4 separate regions of the Mus musculus genome follow, and all the other regions are reported to be linked to region 1. The links are microRNA targets in miRTarBase. Many come from high-throughput screens and were not tested one by one. Region 1 holds a microRNA gene; each other region holds the end of a gene's coding sequence.

The links. The annotated mature microRNA mmu-miR-139-5p reads UCUACAGUGCACGUGUCUCCAG and lies in region 1 at 3,287-3,308, shown strand. An mRNA with a match to its seed (bases 2 to 7 or 8) in the 3' UTR can be bound and repressed. Matches are read on the target gene's strand: a 7mer-m8 pairs with bases 2 to 8, a 7mer-A1 pairs with bases 2 to 7 and ends in A, and an 8mer does both.
Region 2: miRTarBase lists Atp5g3 as a target of mmu-miR-139-5p. Seed matches in the 3' UTR shown: 7mer-m8 at 872-878.
Region 3: miRTarBase lists D17H6S53E as a target of mmu-miR-139-5p. Seed matches in the 3' UTR shown: 7mer-A1 at 1,773-1,779.
Region 4: the mRNA of Nip7 is a reported target of mmu-miR-139-5p. Seed matches in the 3' UTR shown: 7mer-A1 at 5,145-5,151.

The regions. Positions count from the first base shown.
Region 1 is chr7:101,472,096-101,479,095 of GRCm38, forward strand. It overlaps Mir139 (microRNA 139), which reads left to right and starts at 3,281; the gene lies at 3,281-3,348. The region is part of intron 1 of Pde2a (phosphodiesterase 2A, cGMP-stimulated); the gene reads left to right.
Region 2 is chr2:73,901,727-73,909,386 of GRCm38, reverse strand. It overlaps Atp5g3 (ATP synthase, H+ transporting, mitochondrial F0 complex, subunit C3 (subunit 9)), which reads left to right. Exons shown (of 5, transcript NM_175015.3): 4 at 10-203; 5 at 680-940. The coding sequence ends at 794. Among named protein-coding and RNA genes, the nearest start is that of Atp5g3, 5.8 kb to the left of the region's middle.
Region 3 is chr17:35,126,508-35,134,167 of GRCm38, forward strand. D17H6S53E (DNA segment, Chr 17, human D6S53E) reads left to right here. Exons shown (of 3, transcript NM_033477.2): 2 at 136-278; 3 at 415-2,348. The coding sequence starts at 608. The coding sequence ends at 1,489. It overlaps Apom (apolipoprotein M), which reads right to left and starts at 5,294. Exons shown (of 6, transcript NM_018816.2): 1 at 5,103-5,294; 2 at 4,688-4,842; 3 at 4,332-4,411; 4 at 3,901-3,999; 5 at 3,573-3,671; 6 at 2,490-2,628. The coding sequence starts at 5,216. The coding sequence ends at 2,603.
Region 4 is chr8:107,057,794-107,065,453 of GRCm38, reverse strand. It overlaps Nip7 (NIP7, nucleolar pre-rRNA processing protein), which reads right to left. Exons shown (of 5, transcript NM_025391.2): 4 at 7,267-7,407; 5 at 4,523-7,077. The coding sequence ends at 6,958. It overlaps Tmed6 (transmembrane p24 trafficking protein 6), which reads left to right. Exons shown (of 4, transcript NM_025458.2): 1 at 1-55; 2 at 1,254-1,380; 3 at 1,629-1,777; 4 at 3,630-3,970. The coding sequence ends at 3,860. Among named protein-coding and RNA genes, the nearest start is that of Tmed6, 4.0 kb to the left of the region's middle.

The DNA.
Region 1 (7,000 bases):
AAGGCAAATAAATAGCTTTGGATGCCAGCCTGCTGCTGGGTGGGGCTGGATGAGTGCATGAAGAGCCTGCTTTTGTCCCTGGAACCCCACCAGCTGGGATCCTGTACATCAATGCACAGTGACGAAGGTCCTGGCCAGTTTCTGCTGTGCCTCTCTCTGGGGATTGGTTCTCTCAGCTGAAAAATGGAGGTAGGGAGGAGGTGAGTCCCTTGGAGATTGAGAGAGACAATGACACTTGGGATCTAGAACAAATGAAAATAGGATGGGGGTGTGGAGACCTGGAGGGGATAATAAGAGTACAGATGCAATACATGGGGCCCCCGGAGCCTACAAGGTTTCCCCAGCAACTTCATGGTTCCCTGGAGGATGTGCTGGGTCCCTGAGGCCTAGCCCCTGCCCTGCTATATGTAAGGAGCAGGGAGAGAAGAGATAGAGATGAGAGCCAGGGAACCAGACAGGCTCCTGAACCAGGCCAGGGCTGGGCCTGAAAGGTCACAAGAGAAGAGAGGATACTGGGGTGTAGGAAATGGGGGGACAAGAGTGCCAATCTGAAAGGGATAAAGAGGGTCATGGGTGAAAGTCACCCATTGAGCAAAGGCCTGAGTTTGAAGAGACTGGGCAGAGAAATAACTCAAAACGTCAGTGTCCTCTGCTCTGGATGCTGCTCTGGAGCTGCCATGGGAAAGTTGCCAACAGCTCCTCCCAATCTAGGAACCCAGACCTCAGAGGAACAGGGAACAGGGCCACTCCACAGGGGAGTGGGAACTCGTGGGTCACACTTATGTTTTAGCAAAGTGCTGCACAGGGTGAGGGAGCCCAGAGAGAAACACAAAGACAGGAGCATGCCTGAGATGAACCCTCTCCAGAAGATTCCTCACACCAGCCCCCCCGGCACCCCCCCCCCCCCAGTAAAGAAGGGCTATTTTTAGGAACAATAAAAGTGCTCACACATTCCAGCAGGGGCAGAGAGAGTGAAAAGAAGGGCAGGAGTCAGCGTAGAGGAGGAATCTCTCCTCCCTAGGTTTCCTTAAAGGGTTTCCTTGTATGTTGGGGGTCTTCCCCGGCTGGTCCTGGCCTCGACAGTCCTGTCTCCTATCCCCTTCTGACTCTCACGTGTTTCCTTGTTTCTGAATTGGTCTCTGTCCCTGTATGTCTCATACTCCCATTCTCCTGGGATTTGGGGAACAGTTGGGACGAGCCAAGTTGTGAGGATGGAGCCAAATACAGTCAGAGGAGGAAGCAACATGAGGCTGTGGAATCGACATACACCAAAGAGACACACCAAGACAAGCAGACACAGAGGTCCCTGGGGAGGTACTGGGAGGGCTGGGGACACTCAGGACCAACCACCAGGCAGGTACCATGGGACACTTAGTTCTCTGCCCAGCACCCCTGGTCAGCCCTCCCTTCCTGCCCTTCTGTAAGCCATACATCGCCCTGTGTCAAGTCAGTGCCATTTAGCATTTATTATCTATTGTGGGCACAGGAGGGAAGGGGACAATGGAAGAGCGGGAGACAAGAGGCTCCACCCAGGCCTAGAGAGAGACACCCAGTCCCATTCCAACATTGGAGAGATGACAAGTCTATCCCTTGGCCAAAGCAGGACTTGAGAAGTCCAAAGCCACAGGAGAGAGGGCCTCGCCCCATGCCTTTAGGGGAGAACCTGGCTATTTTTTTTTTTTTTTGTCTCCTCTGACCTTCCATACACCCCATACCAAACTGGGCATCCAATGTCATGACACCTGAGGTCTAAAGACGTTGGTCTCATAGGAATTCCCAGGAGGACTGGGGTGGAGACAGGTGTTCCCCATGTAGATGACGTCCTTGAATAAGAGGTGCTGCTCACCTGCTCTTCCTGGGACCCTAGGCTTTTCCCACTTGGAGATGATCCTGAAGAGCAGAAGGTCTCCTGGCTTGCCAGATACCTTGAAAATGCTGTCAAAAGTTCTCAGGGAAAAGCATCCTCTCATTCCGTGGGCTGTTTGTCTACGTCTCTCATCACGCCAGACTTGGGATACAGAGACCGCCATTGTCTCCCCACCTGGGACCTCCAGGAACTCCACTTCTCTGCTCAGGAGGTCGCTGGCCTCCACCATTTCTGGGCTCTCATTGGAGACTAGATGATGCTAAGAGCAGAAGAGCTATGGGACAATCAGGATGCTGTCCTTTCCCCCAAAAGCTCCTGGCCTGATGGGGGAGCCAGAGAGGGCAGTGTGGCAAGGTGATGACACACAGCACCGGGAAGGAGCATCCATCAAGTTGTGAGGGTCCGAGTGAGCAGACCATCACTGGCTCTCTCACCCACCCACTCTTGTCTGACCATATCTTTTCCTTTGGCATACTTCCCTTCCTGACACTGGTCCAGCTAGTCACTCGACATTCCTTTCTCCTGAGTGGACCATTATGTCTGACTTGCAGAGGCTTCTAGGCTTGCTGGGTCAAGCTCTGGTCCTATCTCCAAGGCCACATGAGAGGTGGGGTCGTAGACATTCAGGCTCATAGAAACCGGAGCAGGAGGCCAGCCAGTTCACCGAGACCCTTTCTCGGGGTATTGATTCCCAGAGTCTCTTCTTTCTTGTACACCCTGGGGAACAGTGTACCCAAGCTTCCTTGATGCCAAAACATCTCCCCAGACACAGCTCTGAGTCACAGATACTCACCACAGTCCCCAGTGACTGTCCCACTGTATTCAATTCAACTCTCATGGTCACAGAGGCAGGAAGGTTAGAGACCACAGGAAACCAAGATGACGGGAATTGTGAGGAGACTATGGTGACATGTATGGGAGCTGGGCCTTACTGGTTAGAAACCTGAGGGCTATGGGGACAGAGTGGTCCTACTGTGTGGAGGAGGCAACTGAAGATGGGTAGGGTGAGGAGAAGTCAAAGTCTGACCCAACTCAACTCATCTTAAAGCTTCCAGGCCAGGGCCATCACCTCCTCCCGATACTGGGCTCTTGTCTCCCTCCTCTTTCCATTTCCCTAATCTTTCCCTTCTAGACTGGAGAGTAGACTGTCAGTCTGAGAGGACTAACAACCCCTGCCTTCCCACCTGGCTGCTTCTCCTCCTTCCCACTCTCTATCACCACACTTGGCCCTGGATGGCTTTAAAGGGGTCAGTACAGTGGGAGTGCCTGGGGTAGAAGTTCAGCCTGGTTGGGGAGGAGTGGGAGGTCCAGGGGGGGACCAGCTATGGTAAGGGATGAGAGAAGCCAACAGTTGTCCCAAGGGTCCCCCTCAGGGAGTGGAGGTTCCCCTGGGAGGCGCCAGGACAGGCGCAGGTGTATTCTACAGTGCACGTGTCTCCAGTGTGGCTCGGAGGCTGGAGACGCGGCCCTGTTGGAGTAACAACTGAAGCCAGAGTCTTCGAAGGGTGGTGGGCTAAGGGGGAAGAGGGCATGGTGGGCAAAAGAAAGGGGGTGGGGGAGAGAGAAAAGGAGGACAAGGGGGCCCCTTCCTGTAGTACTTGGCTCTTGAGCTGCAGGTGGCTCCTTCCACGTGCCCCTGTGTCACCAACTCAACGATGGCCACAGCTCCTTTTCTCCTTTCTCACCCTTATGCCTCCTCTCCTTGGGGATCTTTCTTGTGGAGTCTCTTCATGTGGGGGTAGCATCCAGCTGTCCCCATGGCTACCCTCACTGGAGAAAGGATCTACCTTCCCTACATCCCGGTCTTTACACCCCTGTGCCTCTAAAGTGGGGTGAGTGAAAGGCACGTCTCAGGCCAGCAGCAGCTAGAAATTGGGGAGTTGGTAGTGCAAATTCATCAACCTCTTCCCAGACCAGCTGATGCAGAAATTCTGGGGTGGGGACAGCACTGTGTATTTCAACAGTCCTCCAGGTGACTCTGGGCCATGCCGTACTTTGGAAACCACTGAGGGACATCTGCAACCACAATCAGTACCTGAGAAAGGTACCTTCCCTTCCCCATAGCCAGAGTCACTCAGGGCTTATGAGGTGGCTCACTTGGCATCTGGGTTGCCCAACATCACCTAGTCTCTTTCCTTTCCTTTTGCTTCTGGCCCAGCTCAGCCTTGCTACTGGGAAGTCGTGGATGCAAGTGTTAGCACACACAAGCAGCTCTTGTAATATTTTCAGGTGACAGGTCTGTTAGAAACAGCTCTTTGGGCAGGTGGCAGGCGTGGGCGGTGGGGAGGGAAAGGAGCCACCTTCTCCTGCTTCCTCTGTTTTCTGCCTTGTGTCTGGGCAGCTGTGAAGAGCCAGAGAGGAAAACTGGGCTTCTGGACTTGGGCTTGGGCTAGGGACTTTCCTATTCTGAGTTTCAAGGAGTCCTCTTAAATAGTTATACTAAGTAACCTAGCTCTGGCTAATGGAGGTGTGCCCTGGGCATGGAGATAGATGCACTCCCCATTCTCCAGGAAAGATTAGGAAATGTGTGCATTGCTCTCCAGAACAAGAGGATGGAGACAGAGAGGGGGGCAGGTGGCATCTGCTCCAGGCTCCTGGTTTTCCCTACCGTGACCACTTTCTGGCACCTCTATTCATGGCTGCATTCTGTCTGTTGATGTTCTCCCCCCATGTTCTCAGGATGATTTCTTGGAGATCTGGGGGAGGAGTGGGCAGGAGAGACAGGAGTGATTGGGGTGGGGATATGCAGGAAAGAGAAGGAGGGTGGGCAGAGAAGCCTTCCCGGAGAGAGAGCCAGGATGTGGAGGTGGAAATGACATGGCAAGACAGGAGAGCAGTGTGTGACAGATGGACATCGCCTAGGGTATGATGGGGAGAGGCAGAGAAGCACTCGGAGGGACCAGAAGAGCCTGACCCAGAGGGATGGAAAAAAGCAGACAGGCAGAGGAGCTCCCAGGGAATCTCCCTTTGGAGGAAGATATCAGATTCCAGTCTGTGAGGTCAGCCCCTAACCTCAGGCCAGGAGGAGACACAGAGCAAGATGGATCGGCAGAAATGGTTCCAGGGTACAGTTTGGTTCTTACTCTGGAGTCCCATGTTATTACTTTCTTGTAGGGAGTCCAGGTGCCAGCAGCAGGGCGAGCAGATGGCAGGTTTGTGAGTTAGGAAAGTCATGGAGGGTTATAGATGCAGAATAAGACAGCATCTTCTGTCAGTGACCCCTTACTCAAGGCCATCTGTCCCTAAGGATGGCCCCAAAGGAGAGAAGACCAAAATTTCTGGTTTCATATGATCTTAGGAAGGAGTTAGAAGCAATTCAATCTGGGCCCTCTGCTCTCCCCAGTCGAACACACAAATGCTGATTCAGGCCCAGGTTTCAGAAAACTGGCAACCGCCCAGGTTTCAGAGAAACCCTGGTTCCAACAGCATTGTCCCCTTTCATGGTATCTAGGGAGAAAGACCAGCACACAGGAATGGCGCTGTCTGCGGTGCTGATGGCAGTCTCAGCCCACAGCAGCAGGTAGAGAGCCGCAGGTAAGGGAGCTGCAGAGAGCAAAAGAACTCTGTCCATTCTTCCACCTACTGTCCACAGACTACCACTGACCCTCCACCTATTTTCCTACCCACCCACCCACCCACCTACCCACCTGCCTCCCCTCCATTTCCTATCTCTTTACCCATTTGTCCACCCACCCACCCATTTCCCTTTTCCCTACCTATCTACCCACCTATCTGCCATCTAACTGCTCTAATCATCCATCTATCCATTGATTTTTCTCATCTGCTCATCTGTTCACATACCCACCATCTTCCCATTTTTTCAGTCTTCTATCTACTCATTTTCTACCCACTTGCCTATCTACTCATCCATCAACCCATCCATCCATCCATCCATCCATCCATCCATCCATCCATCCAGTCATGCACCCATCTACCCACCCACCTATTTTCCTAATTACTCACTCATCTACCCACCCACCCATTCCATGCATCCCTCCATCCACCTACCCAGTCACCCTCATCAAATTAGTCCATAAAACCACAGAACTAGAGGTGTCGCAGAGTGGAAAGACTCTTTTACATTCAGGAGGAAAACAAGGTTCAGAAGAGAAAGGGGTGTGTTCAAGGCCACATGGAGCTTCTGTCGTCAATCTGGGACAGGGCTGGAAATCATTGCTCTTGTCTATACGCCACAGGTTCTCCCCTGGGGTCTGGGAAATTGCCTGGTTGTTATGCTGATATTTTGATATTTACTCTGGTGTTTGTTCACAAAAGCTGCAAGGACAGGAAATGTGACAGCCTCCACCCACAATGAGCAAGGACTCTTGTGTATGTGCACACGTGCTATGTTCCCCCACCCCCGTGTGTGTGTGTGTGTGTGTGTGTGTGTGTGTGTGTGTGTGTCTGCCTGCATACTCCTAAATACTAGTCCTGACTGTACTCATTGGACGTATGACTGCATTTCTCTGTCTGTGCCTATATGAGCCATCTACATGGAGGTGTGAGCTAAGGTGTACACTTGACAGCCTGCCTATGTGGCACATGGTTGGGAGGGGGCGAGGGAGGACAGACAAACAAGTGGGTAAAAATGGCTGTTTTTCCCTCCCTTGAGAGTCCTGGGGTGCTAGGACTGTTTGAGGCTGGCTCCCTACTGTGCCTCCATTTCAGAAATTGCCCCATTTCCTCTTCACAGCTGCTCCCTCCCCCAAGGCTGCAGTTCTGTCCTGTGCCCAGGCAGGATTCGAATGTAACTCCCCTCCCCCAGCTGGTGTAGTGGAGGTTAAGTTACTCTCAGACCCTTGTGGTGGGGTGAGAGGTGGGTGTTCATTTGTGCAATTGGCATTTCAGCGAGCTGTACAGGCCCCTCTGAGTGGCCTGTTTCCTTCAATCGTTCCCACAGCTAACACCTCATTCTTGAGCAGGTCAGACTCCAAAGCAGATGGAGAGATGGCTGCCAAGCCCGGAGCCTCAACTCTACTAGTCTGCATCCTACTTACCCGGGCAAGGATGGAGAACCCCTCCTTGCTGGTGCCCCAACTCTCCCCAAGCTATCTTACCTCATTCCCTCTACCACCATCACCACCACCGCCATTTTCTTGCCCTTGGCCTAAAAAGGCACAGCAAACTGATCAA
Region 2 (7,660 bases), not on the chromosome of region 1:
TCTTCCCAGGGCTCTACAGTTTTTAATGGGGCCCAGAATGGTGTGTGTCAGCTGATCCGAAGGGAGTTTCAGACCAGTGTAATCAGCAGAGACATTGATACTGCTGCCAAATTCATTGGTGCAGGTGCTGCAACAGTAGGAGTTGCTGGTTCTGGTGCTGGTATTGGAACAGTCTTTGGCAGTCTTATCATTGGTTATGCCAGGTAATCATGTCTGTCAGAGTAAGGTGAAGACTCAGTGGGAAAGTAGACGTGGAAAGAGGGAAATGATGAAATAATGGTAGCCCTTTTGAATGAAGTGTCTGCTGTGTCTTGCATTATATTCTGAGCTGTGTGTGCACTGGTCACTTAAATAAGTGAGGATAGAGCTAGGGGCTAGGGAACACGCCTATAACTCCAACCAGTCAGGAGAGTCAAGGAGATCACAAATGTCAGGACCCCTCAAGGTGGTGTAAACTGAGGATTTATATTTGCATACGAAGATAGCTCCCTGACTTTATGCCACATGATTAGGAGTGGGTAAAATACTCTGAGAGACAAAAGCAAAGTGGTATAGGAGATAGCACCCCCATGAGACTTGCAAAGATCCCCATACTAGATATCTGACTCTACCATTTACCCAATGTGCTGACATCAACGTTGCTTCACAGTAACAGTCATCTGTGTTGTGTCTCTTTTAGAAACCCTTCACTGAAGCAGCAGCTGTTCTCATATGCTATCCTGGGATTTGCCTTGTCTGAAGCTATGGGTCTCTTTTGTTTGATGGTTGCGTTCTTGATCTTGTTTGCCATGTAACAGAAATTACTGCCTGAAATGTTGGCATTCATAGTAATTACGGATGTAATTCTGTGTATCTTGCTGTGACTCCGAAGACTGTAGTACTGGTGTCATGGAAATATATGTTATTTCCACAGTCATTTCATTAAAGATGAAAACTTTAATTCTTGCTGTGATTTGTACTTATATAAGTGTGGATCATCATAAAGATGATCTGTTGAGGTAGGTGGTTGTCCAAGTCAGAGGAAGGTACAGCAGTTACCCTGGTTTTGAAAAAGTGATGAATATGAAACATTGAAAAACACTTAGTGAAGTAGACCAAGCAAAAGACCCATAGTGTGATTTTGTTTGTATAAAATAGGTAACTTTGTAGAGACTAGGCCAATTAGAAGTTATTGGGAACTCTAGGAGCATGGAACTGTGGGTGACTGACTGTTAGTTGTGGAGTTTCATTTTGGGTGATTGGTGCTTGAACAAGGTTATAAATGCACAAAACCATCTCATTACATGGTTACCATAAACCAGGCATGGTGGCGCACGCCTTTAATCCCAGCACTTGGGAAGCAGAGGCAGGCGGATTTCTGAGTTCGAGGCCAGCCTGGTCTACAAAGTCTACACAGTGAGTTCCAGGACAGCCAGGGCTACATAGAGAAACCCTGTCTCGAAAACCAAAAATAAGAAAAAAAAGAAAGAAAACCAGTAGGTGAGTTTCCTACTGTTATGAGTAAGCATACAGAGATGTTTGGAAGGGCTGGGAGTCATTTTCCAGGGAAGAGATCACTTGAGAACACTGCTTGTCTCCACCTTATGCTAAACCTTGAGTAGCAAGAGGACCACCTAGTGAGTGGCTCAACTGCAGACTTAAAAACAGAAGAGCACTGGCACATGAAACATTGCCAGGAAACAGTGTGAGCTACAGGTGAAAGGTAGGCTGGCACACAAATGCACAAATTAGCAGATAAATGAGTTTTATCATGTGATCACAGACAGCGGGGCATGGTGGCCCACGCCTTTAATCCCAGCACTTGGGAGGCAGAGGCAAGCGGATTTCTGAGCTCGAGGCCAGCCTGGTCTACAAAGTGAGTTCTAGGACAGCTAGGGCTAGAGAAACCCTGTCTCGAAAAAACAAAAACAAAACCCCTTGGAGCTATGTTTAGAATTATTTAAGGAGACCAAGGTGGTCTGGTGCTTGTGCGTGTCTTTAGTCTGGGAGGGAGAGGCCTCTGGATCTCTGAGTTGAAGGCCAGCTTAGTTTAGAGTTCCAGAATGGTCAGAAAAAGACCAGTGTGGAATGGCTTGAAGTCAGCAGTACCAGTGGCTACCACAGCAGATCTTCTAGTGATAAATAGGATGTTGTGTGGCAAGAAATTTCCTGGGGAAATGGCAGGTAAGGGACCCATGGCAAAACAAGTATGGATACTACCAAACCCTAAGTTGAACCAATGAGTTTTATTGGGATTATTTACACGTATATGAGTGAGGGGTTACTGTAGCAGAGATGTCTCAAAGGCAGCCGCATCACCAAAGCCCACTCTGGCACCCATGACAGCTCACAAATCTAGAAACCTAGAGCACACTGCAGCTTGTGAGTTTACCTTCATGCTTAAGAAACTTCCCTACAGGATGGAATGTTGCAGTCCCCAAGGAAACTGTTAGACACAGAGGCCTTAGTCTAGGATGGTGGCCACGATAATTATAAAGGAACTTCACAGGACTGGAGAGATGGCTTTGTGGATGAGAGCACTTACTACTGTTGCAGAGGACTGGAGCACTATTCCCAGCCTCAGTTGGGTGCTCACAACCATCTGTAGCTCTAGCTCCAGGAGATTTGAGTCCTCTTCTGACTTTTGCCCACACCAGGCACACATGTGGTGCACATATACACACAGGCAAAAGTACATACACATAAGATTAATTTTTTTTTTCACTTGGGTGACTTTATTTATTATATGTAAGTACACTGTAGCTGTCCTCACACACTCCAGAAGAGGGAATCAGATTTCATTACTGATGGTTGTGAGCCACCATGTGGTTGCTGGGATTTGAACTCAGGACCTTCAGAAGAGCAGTCAGTGCTCTTAACCTCTGAGCCATCTCTCCAGCCCAGCCATCTCTCCAGCCCTAATTTTTTTTAATTTTAAAAATAATTCTTAAAAAGAAAATTTCAGGGCTGGAGAGATGACTCAGCGGTTAAGAGCACTGACTGCTCTTCTGAAGGACCTGAGTTCAATTCCCAGCAACCACATGGTGGCTCCCAACCATCCATAATGGGGTCTGGTGCCCTCTTCTGGTGTGTCTGAAGAGAGCAATGGTGGTGTACTCATGCATAAAATAAATGAATAAATCTTAAAAAGGAAAAGAAAGGAAGAAAGAAAAAAAAAAAAAAAAGAAAGGAAGGAAGGAAGAAAGAAAGAGAGAAAAGAAAGGAATCTCTAAAAGTATTGGGACCTGCCTAGATCTCTAGGGCCAGTCAGAAAAGACAAGGGTGTCTATTCCCTACTACTCCTGAGAAGAAAGGCTTCACACATATACTGTCAATACTCAAAACAAGCCTGCAAAATTAGGAAAAATCAGTTCATTTCCCAAATTATTTGGCCATTGTTTGGTAGTACCCAGATCTGAGTTCATAACTCCCTGGGTTTCAGAACCCATGCTAGGGTTTTCAATATGATTATGTCCAGGATGCCAAAGAGAAATTAATTTGGGGAAATAAAGAATTTTGATTTTTGTATAATTTTAAATATGAGAATCTTAGAAGTAGACTTGGTCCTGTATAGAGAGGACCAATGCAGTGTGCCTAAAAGCTGTGAATACAAGGTCAGAGTGCAGGGTCTGAGAAGTGGCTCAGTTCAGAATGTGTGGCTCAGCCAACAACTGGCTCCACAGTCAGTTCTCTTGGGAGAACTGCTACAGTGACTGCTATAAATAAGGACACTAAGAAAACCCACTTGCGTTTTTGATGTCTTCATTCTCATGACTAATTGAGATTTGTCTACAGGGATAGGATTGTTAAGGTGGAGTAGAGAGTAGAATAAAGCACATTATTTGAGAAAATGATGTTGAATCTCATTTGCAATAATTGTAGGATTTAATTTCATGACATCTTCCTTGGTGTCTTAGTTAGGGTTTTATTGCTGTGAACAGAGACAATGACCAAGGCAATCCTCCCCCCACCCCACCCCCAACAGGGTTTCTCTGTGTAGCCCTGGCTGTCCTGGAACTCACTCTGTAGACCAGGCTGGCCTTGAACTCAAGAAATCCACCTGCCTCTGCCTCCCAAGTGCTGGGACTAAAGGTGTGTGCCACCACTGCCCAGCCCTTTTTTTTTTTTAAGGTTTATTTTGTATATGTGAGTACACTGTCACTATCTTCAGACACACCAGAAGAGGGCATTGGATCCCATTAAAGATGGTTGTGAACCACCATGTGGTTGCTAGAATTGAATTCAGGACCTCTGGAAGAGCAGTCAGTGCTCTTAACTGCTGAGCCATCTCTCCAGTCCCAAGGCAATCCTTATAAGGACAACATTTAATTGAGGCTGGCTTACAGGTTCAGATGTTCAGTCCAGTATCATCAAGGCAGGAACATGGCAACATCCAGGCAGGCATGGTGCAAGAGGAGCTGAGAGTTCTACAACTTCATCTGAAAGCTGCTAGCAGAATACTCACTCCCAGGCAGCTAGGACAAGGGTATTAAAACTCACACCACAAGGCCACACCTACTCCAACAAGGCCACACCTACTCCAACAAGGCCACACCTCTCAACAGTGCCACTCCCTGAGCCAAGCACATACAAACCATCACACTTGGTCTTTGTTCACCTGAGCTTCTCTTGACTTCTCCTAAACAGCATTCAGTGCCTGTCAAAATTCTCTCCAAAAGTTAGCTCATTATGACTTGAATTAGAAGCCAGTAGTGATTTGTCCAAAGAGAATGTGGAAAGATATTTAATGTGTAAAACATATTTTACATACAGGAAAACTGCAAATGAAGGGCTAAGCATTTATAAATGACACACACTTCATTTCAGCACCTGGGAGACAGGCAGGTGGATCTCTAGGGATTCCAGGTCAACTTTGACTAAAAAAGGGAAAAAAAAAACAGCTTTTAGTCAAACAAAAAAATTTTTAATACAGAAAGGGGATGGTAGAATTGAAATTTCTAAGACTTTTATTACAGAACTCATTCAATAATAAAATAACTGGACACTAGCTAGTGAATACTTTTTCATACTTTAGATTAGTGGTTCTTAAATGTCAGTTGTGACCCCTTTCTAAGGTTTCAACAGCCCCTTAATAGAGGTCACAGATCAGATATTCTGAATATCAGATATTTATATTATGACTCATAACAGTAGAAAATTACTGTTATGAAATAGCAACGAAAATAATTTTATGGTTGTGGTTACCATAACATGCTACGATTAAAGGGTCGTAGCATTAGGAAGGTGGAGAACCATGGTTTTAAATAGAGGTTTGTTTTTGTTTTGTCTTAATTTTGTGTGTGCATACACTGCCACAGCTTTTTTAAAATAATTTTTAAGATTTATTATATATATGAGTACACTGTAGCTATTTCCAGATACCCCAGAAGAGGGCATTGAATTCCATTACAGATGGTTGTGAGCCACCATGTGGTTGCTGGGAATTGAACTCAGGACCTCTGGAAGAGCAGTCAGTACTCTTAACCGCTGAGCCATCTCTCCAGCCTGAGGTTTTATTTTTTATTGAGAAATATTGAAAGCATCTTGTTTTCTGGGGGCAGGGAGGTAGGGGAAGGGGGAATTTATTGCTCTTTCAGAGGAGACCTAAGTACAATTCCCAGTTTCCACTTGAGTCTGCTCACAACTGCTTCTTACTTACATCCAGAGGCTCCAACACCTGCCCTCTTCTGGTCTCTACGGGTACTGAACTCAAGTGCACAGAGACACATACACACACACAGAGAGAGAGAGAGAGAGAGAGAGAGAGAGAGAGAGAGAGGGAGAGAGGGAGAGAGAGAGAATGTGTAGCTCTGGCAGGCCTGGAACTTATTAGGTCCACCAGGCTGGCCTTGAACTCACAGAGATCTGCCTGCCTCTGCCTCCCAAATGCTGGGATTAAAGGCATGTGCCATTACACCCACCATTTTTTTAAGTAGCTGTCTTAGTTAGGGTTTTACTGCTGTGAACAGACAACATGACCAAGGCAAGTCTTATAAAAAGCAACGTTTAATTGGAGCTGGCTTACAGGTTCAGAGGTTCAGTCCATTATCATCAAGGTGGGCGCATGGCAGTATCCAGGCAGGCATGGCGCAGGAGGAGCTGAGAGTTCTATGTCTTCACCCAAAGGCTGCTAGTGGAAGACTGACTTCCAGGCAACTAGGGTGAGGATCTTATACCCACACCCATTCCAACCAGGTCACACCTATTCCAACAAGGCCACACCTTCAGATGGTGCCACTCCCTGGTCCAAGGATATAAAAACCATCACAGTAGCAGAACCTACTCCATGAAGATAACTACAGAGGTTGGTAACAAATTTCTAACAAACTTAATTACCCTAGTTTTGTGAACTGCAACAGTGTTAAGAATCATGTTAACTGTTATGAAGAGCAGAGAAGGTGGTCACTGGCAAAAGAAATAACAAAAAGTCAGCAGTTAAAAGCACTGGCTGTGCTTCTGGACCTGGGTTCAATTCCCAGCACTGACATGGCAGCTCAAAACTGTAACTCCAGTTCCAGGGGATGCAACACTCTCACATAGGCATATATGCAGGTAAAACACTAATGCACAGTAAAGAAAATAAATATTTTTTTAAAGTCAAGGAAGCTGTGGAAAGAAAGTGAATAAATATGTTTTTTAATTGAATGACCTGTAAAACTGAACAAGGTAAGGAACAATGGAAGACAATGAGGGAGAAAAACTACAACAGCTCAAAAGCCTTTGGCTTCAGTAACATTGAAAAACCATTTCAGTAAGAGCTACAGGCTGACCAAGCAATTTAGAGCTTAGAACTTAAGAGATGATTTAGAGTTGACAAAATTGTGGTTTCTGGCTATGTAGATAGTTCAGTGGGTGAAATGCTTGCTGTGTACCCACAAGGACACAGCAAGCATTGCAGCTACTGGTTCTAGTCTGGTTTCTATTGCTGTGATAAAAACCATGGCCAAGGGCTGGCGAGATGGCTCAGTGGTTAAGAGCACCGACTGCTCTTCTGAAGGTCCCGAGTTCAAATCCCAGCAACCACATGGTGGCTCACAACCACCCATAATGAGATCTGATGTCCTCTTCTGGTGCATCTGAAGACAGCTACAGTGTACTTACATATAATAATAAATAAAGCTTTTTTTAAAAAAGAATTAATGACCAAAAGCAACTTGGAGAGAAAAGGGTTTATTCAGCTTGTAGTTGTGGTCTATCATAAATATACTGGGTATGTTAACCACACTTCAGGATAGGCCCCATGCCCACCCAGTTCAACACAAACTAACTCAATGATGTTTTCATACACTATTTGTCTTATACTGCTTTGTTTGGGCATTTTTAAATCTTATTGGTTTTTAACTTGTGTATTTGGGTTTCCACTTTTGGGTGGGGGTATGTTTCTTATTTTTCTTGTTTTTTAAAGAGAAACAAAAGATGTTGAGTGGGTGAGAATGTGGAGAGAAAACTGGGCAAGGACCTGGATACAGAGTGACAGAGAAAAACACCTGACACCAACCTCTGTCCTACATACACACACAGTGAAAGAAGAAAAGCATAGAATCACTTCTGCCTCGACTTGCAGGGACAATCAGCAAGGACCTAGGGCAAGGGAGAGAGAGTGGAGGGACAAGAAACACAAAGAATGAGAGCAAGAAAGTTTCCTGAAAAATTTTATTCTGGGATGGCAATGTAAGAAAGA
Region 3 (7,660 bases), not on the chromosome of region 1:
TGCGGAGGCCGCGTCTCAGCTGCGCCCTCGCGGGACAGTAGGGCCACTTTTTGGAATGATAGCTTCCTAAGTTAAGGGATGCACTTAACTGACTGGAGTTCGCTAGACACTTCCATCCCGTCTTCCTCTCAACAGAGACTTCCTGTTCCTTGAGCTCCCTTGGGCAGCGATTTGAAGGTTCCTCAGTTTCAGGACCGAAGGACCCTGGGCCACCACCTTCTTTCCTTCAATGGAACACCACCTCTCCCCTTTCTGGGGCACCTTGGGATGTGGTCTTGGTGAGTGAAACTTGGGGTGCTGACTGCTGGGAAGGAAATCTGAAAGCACAGAACATTGTGGGGGTGACCCTGGCCTTATCGGGCTCTAGAAGTCTTGTTAGTGTGTGGGGTGGCAAATGGATTTCTTTTCCCTTAGACTGACACGGAAGCAGGCCATTTACCACACTTGGGGCTGTGTGAGTCCTTTCTGAATTCAGAGTAGGACAATATCACCAAGCAGACACCTCTTCTGAACCGGAACTGATTCTGGCTTCGGAGGAGATCCTGAGAATCTTACGCAGAGTCAGGAAGTGGTCACAGATTTGGGAAGCGCATTGCACAGCTCAGTCATGTTCCTTCGACGGCTTGGTGGCTGGCTACCTCGACCTTGGGGTCGAAAGAAATCAACAAAGGCTGATTTGCCTGCCCCAGAACCCAGATGGGTGGACAGCTCCCCGGAGAATTCGGGGAGTGACTGGGACAGTGCTCCAGAGACCATGGGAGATGTGGGGCCCCTTAAGACCAAGGATTCAGGAACACGGAGACCCCCCGGGGCTGCTCCAGAGTCTAGCAGGGACCTCAAAGTGGATCAACTGGGGAGCAAAAGAATGGATTCCCTCAAGCGGGACAAGACTGCCTCTACCATTCAAGAGCCTGCAAGACTGGAGTCTGGAGGGGCCATTCCCAAACTAGACTGGGATCCTGTGGATTCAGGTGGCGTGAAGAACCTTGGAGTGTCCGCTCAAGGGAGACTAGGCACCATTGGGCCAGAAGCCCTGTTGGAGAAACCTGGTCGCCGTCAGAAGCTGCTGCGTTGGTTACGGGGGGAACCAGGGGCTCCTTCACATTACCTGCAGGACCCAGAGGAGTACCTGCAGATCTCTACCAACTTGACCCTGCACCTGCTGGAGCTGCTTGCCACAGCCCTGCTGGCTCTGTGCTCCAGGCCACTCCGAGCCATCTTGGATGCTTTGGGCCTTCGAGGACCTGTGGGCCTCTGGCTTCATGGGCTGCTATGTTTCCTGGCCGCCCTACATGGGCTCCACGCTGTGCTGAGCTTACTTACTGCCCACCCCCTGCATTTTGCCTGCCTCTTTGGCTTGTTGCAGGCCCTGGTGCTGGCTGTCAGCCTCCGGGAACCTGTTGAAGATGAGGAGACCGCTGATTGGGAGAGTGAGGGGCAGGAGAGGGAGGCCAAGGAGCAGAGGGAAGGTCCCGGAAGGATGTTGTGACTGGGAGAGGGTGGGAGCAAAGGGTAAAGATAGTGGGGTGGCCTTTAGGAGGAAGGTGGGGAAACCCAGATTGTAAGCACAGAGACCTCAGGGATGGGGAGGAAACTCAGGCACAGGAGCTCCTGTCACACTTGACAGACAGGGCTGGCTAGGATGGCCAGTAATGGACAATGGGACATCACCATTGAAGTCACCAGCTTTTTTTTTTTTTTTTTTTTTTTTTTTTTTTGGTTTTTTTGAGACAGGGTTTCTCTGTATAGCCCTAGCTGTCCTGGAACTCACTCTGTAGACCAGGCTGGCCTCGAACTCAGAAATCCGCCTGCCTCTGCCTCCCGAGTGCTGGGATTAAAGGCATGTGCCACCATGCCCAGCAAAGTCACCAGCTTTTGTTATTTCTTGCTTTTACATTTACTCACTTTTTTTTTTTTTTAAATTTCCACCTCCACTTTTTAAAAGCAAAATAGAATAAAAGCAACCGTGGAGAACGGACACCACAGGGCCCTTTCCAAGCGCAGGGGTGGATGGGGCCAGAGGCAGGACAGAGATCTCTGCATTAAGAGTTGATGGGGAGACCCGTAGTGTCCCTTGGATCCTAGGACTAGAACCGTTTAGAGGAGAGTGAGGCTTTGAGGGAGAAGGGGCTTCAGGTGCCGCAGTACCTGCAGTGAGGGTCTGCAGGTCGGTGGGAGCCAGAAGAAACAGAGCTGCTGTGGGCTGGATTGGCATGAGGACCAGTACAGAAGAGCTGGCAGCTCTGAAGGGCAGTGGGGGAAGCACCGTGACTGCCTCTCCACTCAGGCATTGCTCACTCAGCAATAAATGTGCCACACTACATCCTAAATACACCAGTCTAATGTGAGAGGTTCCACTCAGTGTCCTTCCTGATGCCTGACAGCCGGGGGTGTGAGGTGGTGGAGGTGTCCGTCAGGGGGTGGGGTGGGAGGGGAGGGTCAAAGTGGAGAAATGATATCTTTGATGTCTGCAGACAAAACCCAGGAGATGAGGACTGACAAATCATCTTTATTATCCACGAGAGGGGGCAGGAGTCGCTGGCTTCTCCACTCGAAGCTGGGCTCCTATCTTGTCTGTCTAGGACACGGGTGAAGTCACTGGTCACTTGCTGGACAGCGGGCAGGCCTCTGTGGGGGGAGGAGGGAGAGAGTAAGAGGGTGGTCGTCCAGGGGAGGAGTGCCGTTGGCACTGGAGTAAGGTAGGAGACTCTACATCTGGCCCTCTCCTCCCTTTATCTAAAGCGGTGGTTCTCCAGCTGTGGGTCATGACCCCTTGGGGGGGGACGACAAACCACCCTTTCACAGGGGTTTCGTACAGATACCCTGCATGTGAGATACTTAAATGATTCATAAAAGTAGCAAAAGAGCAACAAAATAGTTTTACGGTTGGGGGGTGGGGTGGGGTGTCACCACAACATGAAGAACCGTGTTAAAGGGCGTTTGGAAGGTTGAAGACCACTGCTCTAAATTCTAAGAAACCTATCTTTCACCTCTTTTTTTAAATTTTTTTTAAGATTTATTTATTATATGTAAGTACACTTCAGACATTTTTTTCTTCTCTCTCTGGCCCCGCCTGTCTGGCCCCGCTCTCTCCTGCCCAAAGATTTCTTTATTTATGTAAGTACACTAGCTGTCTTCAGACACCCCAGAAGAGGGCATCAGATCTCATTACAGATGGTTGAGCCACCATGTGGTGGCTGGGATTTGAACTCAGGACTGTTGGAAGAGCAGTCAGTGCTCTTAACTGCTGAGCTATCTCTCCAGCCCCTCGTTTTTATTTTTGAAAGACAGCCTCACTATATATATAGTCCTGGCTGTCCTGAAACTCACTTGTATACCAGACTGGCTTTAAATCTGTGGCAATTCTTCTGCCTCTGCCAGCTGTGTGGCAGAGGTTACAGTGTGTGTCACTATTCCTAACTGCACATGAGTCCTTCTGGTACCATTCTAGCCCATAAGAATTAGAGGGGTCAGTGTACCCATTCTGATAATGTCTGCCTTTGGCCACGGCCCCTGCTGACATTGCACAGAGCTCTTTACCCACAGGAGACTTGGTGACTTCAACCCCTCACCTTGATTCCTGGGAGTCACTAAGAAGGCTTTGAAGTCCAAGCAAGAGGTCAGAGACTGGAATTCCTCCACACACTTCTCTGGAGGGTGTGGTGACCGATCTGGAAGGACGGGGAAAATTCAGGCCAGTCAGTGTTCCTGCTTCTCAGCCCTGGCTTCCCAGCTCCCTAAAGGCCTGCTGAAGTGCCCACCTGTTCTGAAAGAATGTTAAAGGGCCCCAACTAGGGAGCCTTTTTGGCCCCAGCTAGGTGGGCTTTTTAGCCCCAACTAGGGGGGCTCTTTAGCCTTCCAGTTTCCCTCGGACATTTGCTGCCTTGTATCCCCACTCACTGTAGAGGAGAAAGCGCTGGTAGCCCTGGCCCGTCTCTTTCAGCATGATTCCTCCTGGGCACGAGCTGGAGAACAGGTCTGTTTTCATGTCTGGGCGCCCTGTTGGGATCAGGAGAGAAAAGGAGGACAGATGCAGACTCACTGAACCAGGCCTACTAGTGAGGACCATGATCCCAGCTGCCCAGGAAACTGAGACAGGAGGGTTTCACATTCAAGGCCTATCCATGTTCAACACCCTGTGCTACAGGGTGAGCTCAACAACCATCAGGGCAACTTAGTGAAACCGCCTCAAACTAGAAAGGGTCTAGGGCTACGGCCCAGTGATAGCATGCCTGCCTCCTAAGAATGCAGGAGGTCCTAGGTCCAAGCCTCAATCCCGAGGGGAAACGGCTAAGGGAGACGAGACAAGGGGAGGGCTGGTGGGAACCAACCTTCAGTTCTGAGTTCCATGTTTCCTTTCCCTTCAGTCAATCGGTATGTCCACTTCCGGGGCACACAGACCCCACTTTTCCTGCAGAGGTGGCAGTGTTAAGATAGGAAGATGGAGTGTCATTCCCACCACACAGTAACATCCTTTATTCCACCGTTCTCTTCCCCACACCCTAGCTCTTTGGGTTTTGAGCCACTAAGAGATAGTGAGGCCCCATTCTGTCTCCAGAAAGTGACTTGTAATGCTGTGGAATTGAGTGGGCAGAAAGTGGGAGCCTGATGCTGGGTGTGGTGACTGTTCACAGTTGGGGCAGAGAACACACCCAGTGGTGTCTCTGCCTCCTTGCTCGACACTCACGTGCGGATGGTAGCACGAAGCTGGAGCTGCCTTGGGGCAGAGCCGGCAGCCATGTTGAAGACAATATTGTCCACCGGATCAAAAGTTGCCAACTCTTCCGTGGTGGAGGCTGCTCCCGCAATAAAGTACCACAGGCCCAGGTGGGGCTCTGGGGTCTGGAGAGGCAATGAAGGGAGCAAAAGGATGAGTTGCTGGGTGCATCACAAAAATCCATCCAACATCCCCATCTGTCAGCAGAGCAAGACTTGGGGCTTGCGATTCTGGTGGCCTTCAATGTTTGCAACAAGGAGCCACCAGTGCCTCCCACACACCCTCTTCCTCCCTTCCTTTTTCAACATGCTTTCTGGCCATCTTGAGCGACCCACCTACTCAAGACTTTCAGCTTCTACTATATAGGCGTTCCCTCAGTACATACCTCTGTGTCGTCCATTCCCAGCGCAGTTAGTTGACTGTGCTCAGGGCACTGATTCATGGAGTTAAAGAGAAGGCCATAGAGAGAGAGCAGAGCTGCCCAAACTTGGTGGAACATCTCGGGATGAGAGTTGGTGCTCTGCAGTTGAGGGGACCTCCGCCTTAACTGTTCTCTGATGGCCGCTCGGTCTACTCTGCCTCCAGCCCCCTCGCCTCGACCCTTGACCCTTTAACCTGCTAATAAGTAACTTCAACCTTGTTTTCCAACCCAAGCCTAGATTGACTATGGCATCGGGGCCTTCCTCCCCCTCTTCCGGATGCAACCACTCTACAATATACCCGGGCATGACCCAGTGACTCTGAGGCCTTAGGAGGAAAGCTGAGCCCTACAGTAGAAACCCAGTCTTCCATGCTGCATTTGATGGGAGCCCTGCTGCGATGAGAAGTGGCTGGATTAGGTCTTTCATTCATTCATTCACTGGGCAAGTCTGGAATTTCAGTTGTTTGCCAGGAACTAGCTAATCCTGGAGGACTTTTTTTTTTTTTTTTTTTTTTTTTTTAAAGCGGAAAACAGCTTTGCTTTGCAAACAATCCATTGCAATGTAAACTGATAAATGTTAAAACAGGCACCAGCCAGTCGCTAGGGCATGGTGGATTCTCCCCCCACCCCTTCTTTCTCTCTCTCTCTCTCTCTGATAGGGTTTCACTATGTCACTTTGGTTGTCCAGGGATTCACTACATAAGCCAGCTGGACTCATAGAGATCATCTGCCTGCCTTTGTCTCCCAAGTGATTAAAGGCTTGTGCCACTTTGCCCAGCTTGCATTTCTCCTGTGAGAGTATAGTAGGGGAACTGGTAAGAACACATGAAGGAAAAGCTCACTGACAAATGGGCTCACGTTTATTCAGATTTTGGTGGTAGTGAAGACATTCTATTAGACGCAAGTGTAACACTAGTATTAAGAGTGGGTCTGCTGCCGGGCGAGGTGGCGCACGCCTTTAATCCCAGCACTCGGGAGGCAGAGGCAGGCGGATTTCTGAGTTCGAGGCCAGCCTGGTCTACAGAGTGAGTTCCAGGACAGCCAAGGCAACACAGAGAAACCCTGTCTCGAAAAAACCAAAAAAAAAAAAAAAAAAAAAAAAAGAGTGGGTCTGCTGGGTGTGATGGCACATGCCTTTAATCCCAGCACTTGGGAGGCAGAGACAGGCCTGAGTTCGAGGCCAGCCTGGTCTACAAAGTGAGTTCCAGGACAGCCAGAGAGCTATACAGAGAAACCCTGTCTCCAAAAACCAAAAAAAAAAAAAAAAAAAAAAACAACCAAACACAAGAGTGGGTCTAACCCCTGACTTGACTGTTAGATGTGGGGACTCATGCATACCAAGCAGACTCAGAGGTAACAACGATCCAGCCTCCTGGGGCAACTGTACTAATTTCTATCTCTGTTTTCCCCATCTCTGGAATGGGCAACCCATTAGTCTCAGGATTAAATGGGACCATGCATACATCAAGTCTGAAGGAAATACCCATTATCATCAGTAACTGCAAAGCACCCACTGCAATTGCTGGTAGTGATTTTTAAAGATTTATTAATTTATTTTATTCATATGAGTACACTGTAGCTGTCTTCAGACACACCAGAAGAGGGCATCGGATCCAATTACAGATGGTTGTGAGCCACTATATGGCTGCCAGGAATTGAACTCAGGACTTCTCTCTAGCCCATGAAATTTTTATTTATTTGTTTGTTTGTTTGTTTTTGAGACAGGGTTTCTCTGTGTAGCCCTGGCTGTCCTGGAACTCACTCTGTAGACCAGGCTGGCCTCGAACTCAGAAATCCGCCTGCCTCTGCCTCCCAAGTGCTGGGATTAAAGGTGTGCACCACCACGCCCGGCTTTATTTTTGTTTTTTTGAGACAGAGTTTCTCTGTGTAGCCCTGGCTGTCCTAGCACTCACTCTGTAGACCAGGCTGGCCTTGAACTCAGAAATCCGCCTGCCTCTGCCTCCCACATGCTGGGATTAAAGGCATGCGCCACCACCGCCCGGCAGAAATTTTTATAATAAAATACTAAATGTGGGACTGGGGAAGTGGCTCAGCAGTGAGGGTACTTGGCAGATGGCAACCCAAGCTGAAGATCCCCTGGTCCCCACACAGTGAGAGGACACCACATTTCCCTCGGATCTCCACATTTGCACTGTGCTGTTGCAGACGCAGGCCATACACCCCTCCTCCATCCCCGAAAAGTATTTTTAAAAATATTTAACTTCTATTATCCCAGCATCTGGGATGCAGAGGCAGGTGGGTTTCTGTGAGTTACAGGACATCCAGACTTACATAGTGAAATCCTATCTTGGAAAAAAAAAATTCAAAACGTAAATATAGTCTATTAGAGTGACACACAACCCTGCACTGGGTGGTGGTGGGGGGAACATTGTCCTTATGAGTTCCAGGCAATTCAGGGTAACAGTGAGACAGCATGTAAAAGTCTCATCATACAATGCTTACTGGAAGTCTCATCAGTACTGGCATCTAAGAATAAGTGGGGAAGAATGCAGAGAGAGAAA
Region 4 (7,660 bases), not on the chromosome of region 1:
CGAATGTTTCTGGCAATTTGCTGACCAGATGGGATACCTCTACTTCAGCTACGAGGTGCGTGGAGGCCTCTGGCCATACCTTTTATAAAGTGAGCCAGGCTTTTGATGAAGCCAAGGTCTGGTTCTCTATGAGGCTGTGGCTGCCACTTGTGAATCAAGTGGACCTTCAGTTAGAGAGCAACTCTGGGTGAGACTTGGATGAACAGCCAGCAACGGGAGCTAAAGCATATGGCTTGGTCTAGAACTGGAAGCTACAGAAGTGTGTTCCAATCCAATGGACAAGAGAGGCAACCTTTAGCTTTCCTCGGATATGAGGAAAGACAACACGTGCTAAAATAGTCACATAATTGTGGGGCACACACCTTTAATCCCAGAACTCAGGAAGCAGAGGCAGGGGGATCTCTAAATTCAAGGTCAGCTTGGTCTACAGAGTGAGTTCCAGGACAGTCAGGGCTACACAGAGAAACTTGTCAATAAAGAAGAAACGAGCCTGGCAGTGGTGGCACACACCTTTAGTCCCAGCCCTTGGGAGGCAGAGGCAGGCAGATTTCTGAGTTCGAGGCCAGTCTGGTCTACAAAGTGAGTTCCAGGACAGCCAGGGCTATACAGAAAAACCCTGTCTTGAAAGAAAAAAAAAAAAAAAAGAAAAAAAAAACAGAAAAAAAGAAAAAGAAAGAAGAAACAAGAGAGAGACAGAAAAGGGTCCCATAATAGATTTTAAGTGAAATCACTTGAGTTCATGGGGTGAGATAAGGTCAGACCTCCTGCATGTGCTAATCCTAACAACCTGTAGAATAACCGGCTCAAAGCTTTGTCTATGCACCCAGACAATTCTGTTCCTCTTTGGAAGGTGCCTATCCCTTGGGCAAGTACACCCAAAGGGGCTTAGGCCACCAAGGACCTTAATATTAAAGTTAGAGGTAACTTTGGTTTTTTTGTTGGTTTTTTGTTTTTAGGTTGTGGGGGCTCTTGGGGAGACAGGATCTCATGTAGCCCAGGCACTGGCCTCAAACAAGATACAGCATCAGTCCTTGCTGGTTTGTTTTGTTTGTTTGTTTGTTTGTTCTTTCTGTAGACCAGGCTGGTCTCAAACTCAGAAATCCTCCTGCCTCTGCCTCCCAAGGGCTGGAATTATGGGATTAAAGGCGTGCGCTACCACTGCCTGGCACCTTGCTGGTTTTTGAGTGATGTAGTAAGGATCTCTCTCTCTCTCTCTCTCTCTCTCTCTCTCTCTCTTTTACCGGTGATGGCAGGTTCAGCGCATTCTCGGGATGTCACATGACCGCCACATTGTTGCCACGGCACATACCCCGCAGGGTTTCCTTATTGACACTTCCCAGGATGTAAGGGGCCAGATTAACTTTGCTACACAAGAAACAGGTATGTATTCATCTCCAAAGCTACAATAATAGTCAAACATTTCTATGAAATTGAGAAATAAGGGCTGGGCAGTGGTGGCACATACCTTTAATCCCAGCACTCGGGAGGGAGTGGCAGGCATATCTTGGTCAGTTCAAGGCCAGCCTGGTCTACAGAGTGCTTCCAGGACAGACAGGACTCTTAAACAGAGAATGTAAGACAGGATGGGGCACTAAAGACCTGGTAATGAGATCTAGGAATTCCCACAGGCTTCTATCAGCTTTGTCTAAAAAATGAGCAGAATCGCTTCAGTTCTATACAAGTGTATCTCAACTTCGGAGTCTTCTATGAGGGGCCCGAGGTGGATCACAAGCAGAGTCAAAGGAAGCAACTGAACGACACTCTGGATGCGATTAAGGTAATGGGATGGGCATTCTTGGGGGTGTGGCCTGAACAAGGGAGGACTCATAATAAAAACCAAATGGGCAAAAAGAGCTGAACCCTTCAGCTCATTATGCGGCACGGCGCTCCTCTGGTACCAAGGCTTGGGCAAACAGTGGCTAACAGACCTGTCTAGTCCACTGCCTGTTTGTAATACTCATTCACAAACTTGTGCAGCTACCCTAGTACTTACAGCAGAACAATCTCCCGTCCCTGCGAGAAACTCTACACGGTCCTCACTGCCCCATCCCCTCTAGAATCTCCTAACCCTAGAAGCGCTGTTGCACTGTTCCTGTAGGTTTTCTGTAAACAGAAGCAGGCAAGTGGATTTTTATGGTCCCTTCTTTCACAAAGCACGGCTTTCGTTTGTTTGAGATAAGGTCTTACTATGTAGTCTTGGCTGACCTGAATTGAATTCATTTTGTAGACCAGGCTGGCCTTGAACTCACAGAGATCCACTTTCCTCTTGAGTGCTAAGATTAAAGGCATTCACCACCATGCCCAGTCTGATTCTTTTTTTTTTTTTTTTTTTTTTGAGACAGTTTCTCTGTGTAGCTATGGCTGTCCTGGAGCTCTGTAGACCAGGTTGGCCTCAAACTTAGCTCCCTGAATGCTGGAATTAAAAGTATGCACCACCACCGCCTGGAATTATTATTATTATTATTATTATTATTATTATTATTATAAATAACAGGGTCTCACACTCTGTAGCTCAGACTGGCCTTCAATTTGCAGCAATCCACCTGCCTCACCTTGAGTGCTAAGATTATAGACCCAAGCTGTCACACCTAATTTACATATAGTATGCTTGGCTAGTCCTTGGCCCCTTTCTTAGCTCTGAACATCCTGCTGTGTAAGTACAGCTTTGTTCCTGACTATCCACTCACCAGCTGACTACATGTGAGTTTCTACCTTTTGGCTCTCACAGTGCTGGTGATAATGTGTGCAAACAAGCTTTTGTGTTTTCTTTTCATGTAGCTACAAGTGGACTTTCTGGGCATGATTTAAACTGCTTAGTTTTGTATGAACTACCCGACAACTATGAAGATTCTGATTTCTTTCTTTCTCTTTCTTTCTTTCTTTCTTTCTTTCTTTCTTTCTTTCTTTCTTTCTTTCTTTCTCTCTCTCTCTCTCTCTCTCTCTCTCTCTCTCTCTCTCTCTCTCTTTCTTTCTTTCTTTCTTTCTTTCGAGACAGGGTTTCTCTGTGTAGCCCTGGCTGTCCTGGAACTCACTCTGTAGACCAGGCTGGCCTCGAACTCAGAAATCTGCCTGCCCCTGCCTCCCGAGTGCTGGGATTAAAGGCGTGCGCCACCACGCCCAGCAAGATTCTGATTTCTATCCATCCTAAAGTATTGGTGATAGCTGTCCTGGTGGTCTCATAAACCTAACAGTCTGCAGGGACAAGGTATTGGTTAGGAAGGTGACGGCATGTGGAACACGCATCTCAATTGATAGTGGCTTATACAAGTAACCTCAACAGAGTAGATCAGGATTCAAAGTCACCCTTAGCTACACACTGAGTTTGAGGCCAGCTTGGGCTATGTGAGAAGTAGCCCAAGTGCTTACCTTGAATGTTCAAGGCTGCTGAGTTTAGGATGTGGGGAGTTTTGTGGGTACTAGGCAATCCTCCTTACCACTGGGTACATCCCAAGCCCTAACTATGCCTCCTAACTTTAAAACTACTCCACCAATTTTTCTCAAACAAAGTCAAAGTACCATGTATTACCAACTGCTGTAGCACTGTTTCTCAGACTCCTGAGTCACAGGTCACTTAGATCAGGGCAGGTAAGACCCAACAGCAGCCAGAGTGGCTTTCCTTCTTCCCACAGGACAGCACACAAAGGGTGGAGAACCAAGTTTTCCACATGTGGCGCTTCTACAACTATGCCAGGATGAGAAAAGTGGCTGACTTCTTCCTCCTGCAGTCTAACTACACCTATGTGAACTGGTGGTCCACAGCTCAGAGCCTTGCTATTGTTCTTTCCGGGGCCCTCCAGCTCTATTTCTTGAAAAGACTTTTTACTGCTTCAACTACTGACACAAAGAAGCCAAGATGCTAACATATAGCCTATTTGTCAAAGCTTTGATCAAATGGGCTTTGGAAAGTTATTGGGGGGGGGGTCAACTTATGTCCCCTTTCTCTTGTGTCCACCAATAAAGGCAAATGTTTAACAAAAAGTGAGTTCTGCTGCTGATCATTCTAAAATACGAATTAAGTGCTAAAAGCTAAAAGTACTGTTTATCTGAGGCAGGGTTTCAATATGTAGCCTTGGCTACTAGAACTTGCCGGGTAGACCCAACTCACCCCAAACTAAAGAGATTCTGCATCCCCACTGCTGGCAAGGTGTGTAACCCCATCCGCAGCCTAGAAACATCTTTATCCAGCTGTCCCTCAGCCTTCACTGACGCACGCCTTTAATCCCAGCAGAGGCAGGCGGATTTCTGAGTTCGAGGCCAGCCTGGTCTACAGAGTGAGTTCCAGGACAGCCAGGGCTACACAGAGAAACCCTGGAAGTGGGTTCAAGGATGAAGCTCCCTTCAGTAAGAGCACCTGCTTTGTATGCAGTTTGGGCCTCGATCCCTGGCACCACAGAAATCAGGGTGGTGGCTCTCAAATCTGAACTCTAGCACTGCAGAGGAAGCACTAAGATCAGCCTTAGGCAGTTCAAGACCATATCTCAAAGTACGTTAAAAGCTCTGAAAGAGTTGATACGGAGACAACTTTTTGGAGTTTAAAAAATTTTAATCCATTGTAGAGGACTACAAAGGTCAGCAATGTCCCCACCTTCAACCTTGTCCCAGGGATTGAACACAGCATCAGGCTTGGTGGCACATGGCTGATCCACCCTACCAGGCTGTCCACTGAGCTATCTTCTTGGCCTGTAGTGCCCTTCAACGGTTGGAAATATTTTACTTTATTTAAAAGATGTTACCATTGGAAACTGGTGTGGCGACAGACCTATAATACCATTACCTGAGAGGCTAAGACAGCCTGGGTCCCATAGCATTTCAGACCAACTTAGATATAATGTGACAAATGTCTCAAAAAATAAAAATGCCCCCTAAAACTGACATAACCTGATCATATCTTAAGAAACTGTTCTGCCGGGTGTGGTGGTGCATGCCTTTAATCCCAGCACTCGGGAGGCAGAGGCAGGTGGATTTCTGAGTTCGAGGCCAGCCTGGTCTACAAAGTGAGTTCCAGGACTGCCAGGGCTATACAGAGAAACCCTGTCTCAAAAAAAAAGAAAAAGAAATTGTTCTGAAGTTAGGCATGGTGGGGCACATTTTTTAAGGCCAGTATTTTGGAGGCAAACAGATCTCTGAGTTTGAGGCCAGCCTGGTCTACAGAATGAGTTCCAGGACAGTCAGGGCTACAGAGAAACCCTGTCTCAAAAGAACAAACAAAAACAAAACAAACAAAAAAAACAAACAAAAACAAAAAAAAAAGGGAGGTGGGGGAATTGAGCCTGGTATGGTAGTATACCCATTTAATCTCAGCACTTCAGAATCAATGGATCCTTGAGTTTGAGGCCAGCCTGGGTACATTCTAAGCAGAGATACATAGTCAGAACTTGTTTCAATTAAAAAAAAAAAAAAGTAACAAAATCATTTTAACACAGACAGGGAAGATGGCTCAGCAGTTCAGAAAGAACATTCTCTTTTAGAGGACTGAAGTTTGGTTCCCAACACCAACAATGGCCAGCTCACAACTGTCCTTACCTCAGGCTCCAAGGAATCCCAAGTGTTTTCTGCCCTCTGAGGATACCGCTACCCAAGCAGGATATACTCACACAGACACGCACGAACAATTTCCTGTTTTGAGACAGGATAACTCTATCCCATGCAGGATGCTTTACAACTGCTATTTTTTATTTATTTATTATATGTAAGTAAGTACACTGTAGCTGTCTTCAGACACTCCAGAAGAGGGAGTCAGATCTTGTTACGGATGGTTGTGAGCCACCATGTGGTTGCTGGGGTTTGAACTCCGGACCTTTGGAAGAGCAGTCGGGTGCTCTTACCCACTGAGCCATCTCACCAGCCCCTACAACTGCTATTTTTAATTCTGAATATCACTGTTACACTGATGACTGGAGGTGTTTTTTCAGTTTTGTGGGTTTTGGGTTTAAGACTGGCCAGGATCTCCTTATGTAGACCAGGCTGGCCTTGAACCTATAGAGCTCCATCTGCCTTTGCCTCACCCTCAAGCCCCCGTGCTGTAACTAAAGATATGCACCACCATACGGCAGGGTCATGGGTTTTTTCTTTTAACAAAGGAAGAAAATGAAGCCTCTCTAAGCAGAGAACTTGTCCACCACCACAGCTGGCAAGGGGCAGAACTGAGGCTTGAATACAGACGCTTCCACGCTATACCCCACTTAACACCAAGAAAAATAGCCAAAATGCACCTATTAAATTTATTAGGATAGCTTAGTGGTTAAGACCACTGCTGTCCCTGCAGAGGACCTGAGTTTAATTTCTGGCACCTATACGGTGGCTCACAACCAGTAACTCTAGTTCCAGGTCTGAAATCACCTTGACTTCCTTAGGCACCAGGCACATAAGCAGTGCACATACGTACATGCCAACAAAACACTCACACATATGAAATAACAAATATAAAACCATTAAAATTTATTAAATTCCATATGTAAAACCAGAGGCTCATATGGCCGTTTCTACCTTTAACATTAACACACAATAGAAAGTCCACTGTGCTATCATGAGCCTGGAAAACAGTGTTATCACAGATAACAGTAAGATGGCTCCTGTCCTCAGTGAAGTAACTTAGAAACCATCACTCAGAGCAAGTCTTCTGATCCAAACAAAGACGACGCAGACACAAAACAGAAACACTCTATTTACTCACACAAAACACTCTCAGGTTCTGGTTTGTCTGTTTTAGATTTTTGAGACAAGGCTCACTATGTAGCCCAGGCTAGCCTTGAACTCTCCAAGTAGCCTGAGCTGGCCTTATACTTGTGATCCACCTGCTTTTGACTCTAGAGGGCCAGAGACCCTGTTTTCACGCCATTTCTGTTGATAAGAACCCAAGTTGCGTATCTCAGTGTTGTCCAGATTTAATCTGATGGCCGCACACAGGAAACAAAGCTAAGTCCTCTCACACAGCAAAATGTTCTTGGAATGACCGTCCTAAGTCAGTGTCTCTTCATGGCGTACGTACTCCCCAATGTCTGCTTGGTGGAACACCACAATTGCCATGGGGTCCACTTTTCGGCAGTCTTGGGTAGACTTTGCTGCCACCCCAAAACCCTGGAATTGAAAGAACAGACATTCATTTATAAGGAAACAAAACAAAACAAAAACTATATTGAAACAGCTGTATCTTTGAGAACTGTGAAAGGAGCCAAGAAGTCAGTCTCCGAGCTGCTGACTGAAACTTCATCCTTTCCAGTGGGTACCTGGCATTTGCCGTGATGGATGGCTACCGTGGCTACTCACCAGAGGAATGTCCGCCATGGAATAGACAACCACTCCCTGGTACTGAGATGTGTTCTCAGTAATTCGACCCAGACCGGATTTCAACACATGGTTTCCATACAAGAAGGACTGCTCTGCTCCCGGCTTTACCCACACTTTATACTGAAAGAGAGTTAAAAGCCAAGACACAAGGATGTTGGGCTATATCCCTAAATGCGGATTAGCAGCTGCTTCCGAGTTTAAGGAGAGGTGGGGAACCTTTAAGTTGTTTGGACCCCCCCCCCACTTTTTTGTTTTTGTTTGTTTGTGGGTTTTTTGTTTTTTTTTGAGACAGTGTTTCTCTGTGTAGCCCTGGCTGTCCTCGAACTCAGAAGTCCGCCTGTCTCTGCCTCCCAAGTGCTGGGATACCCCAATT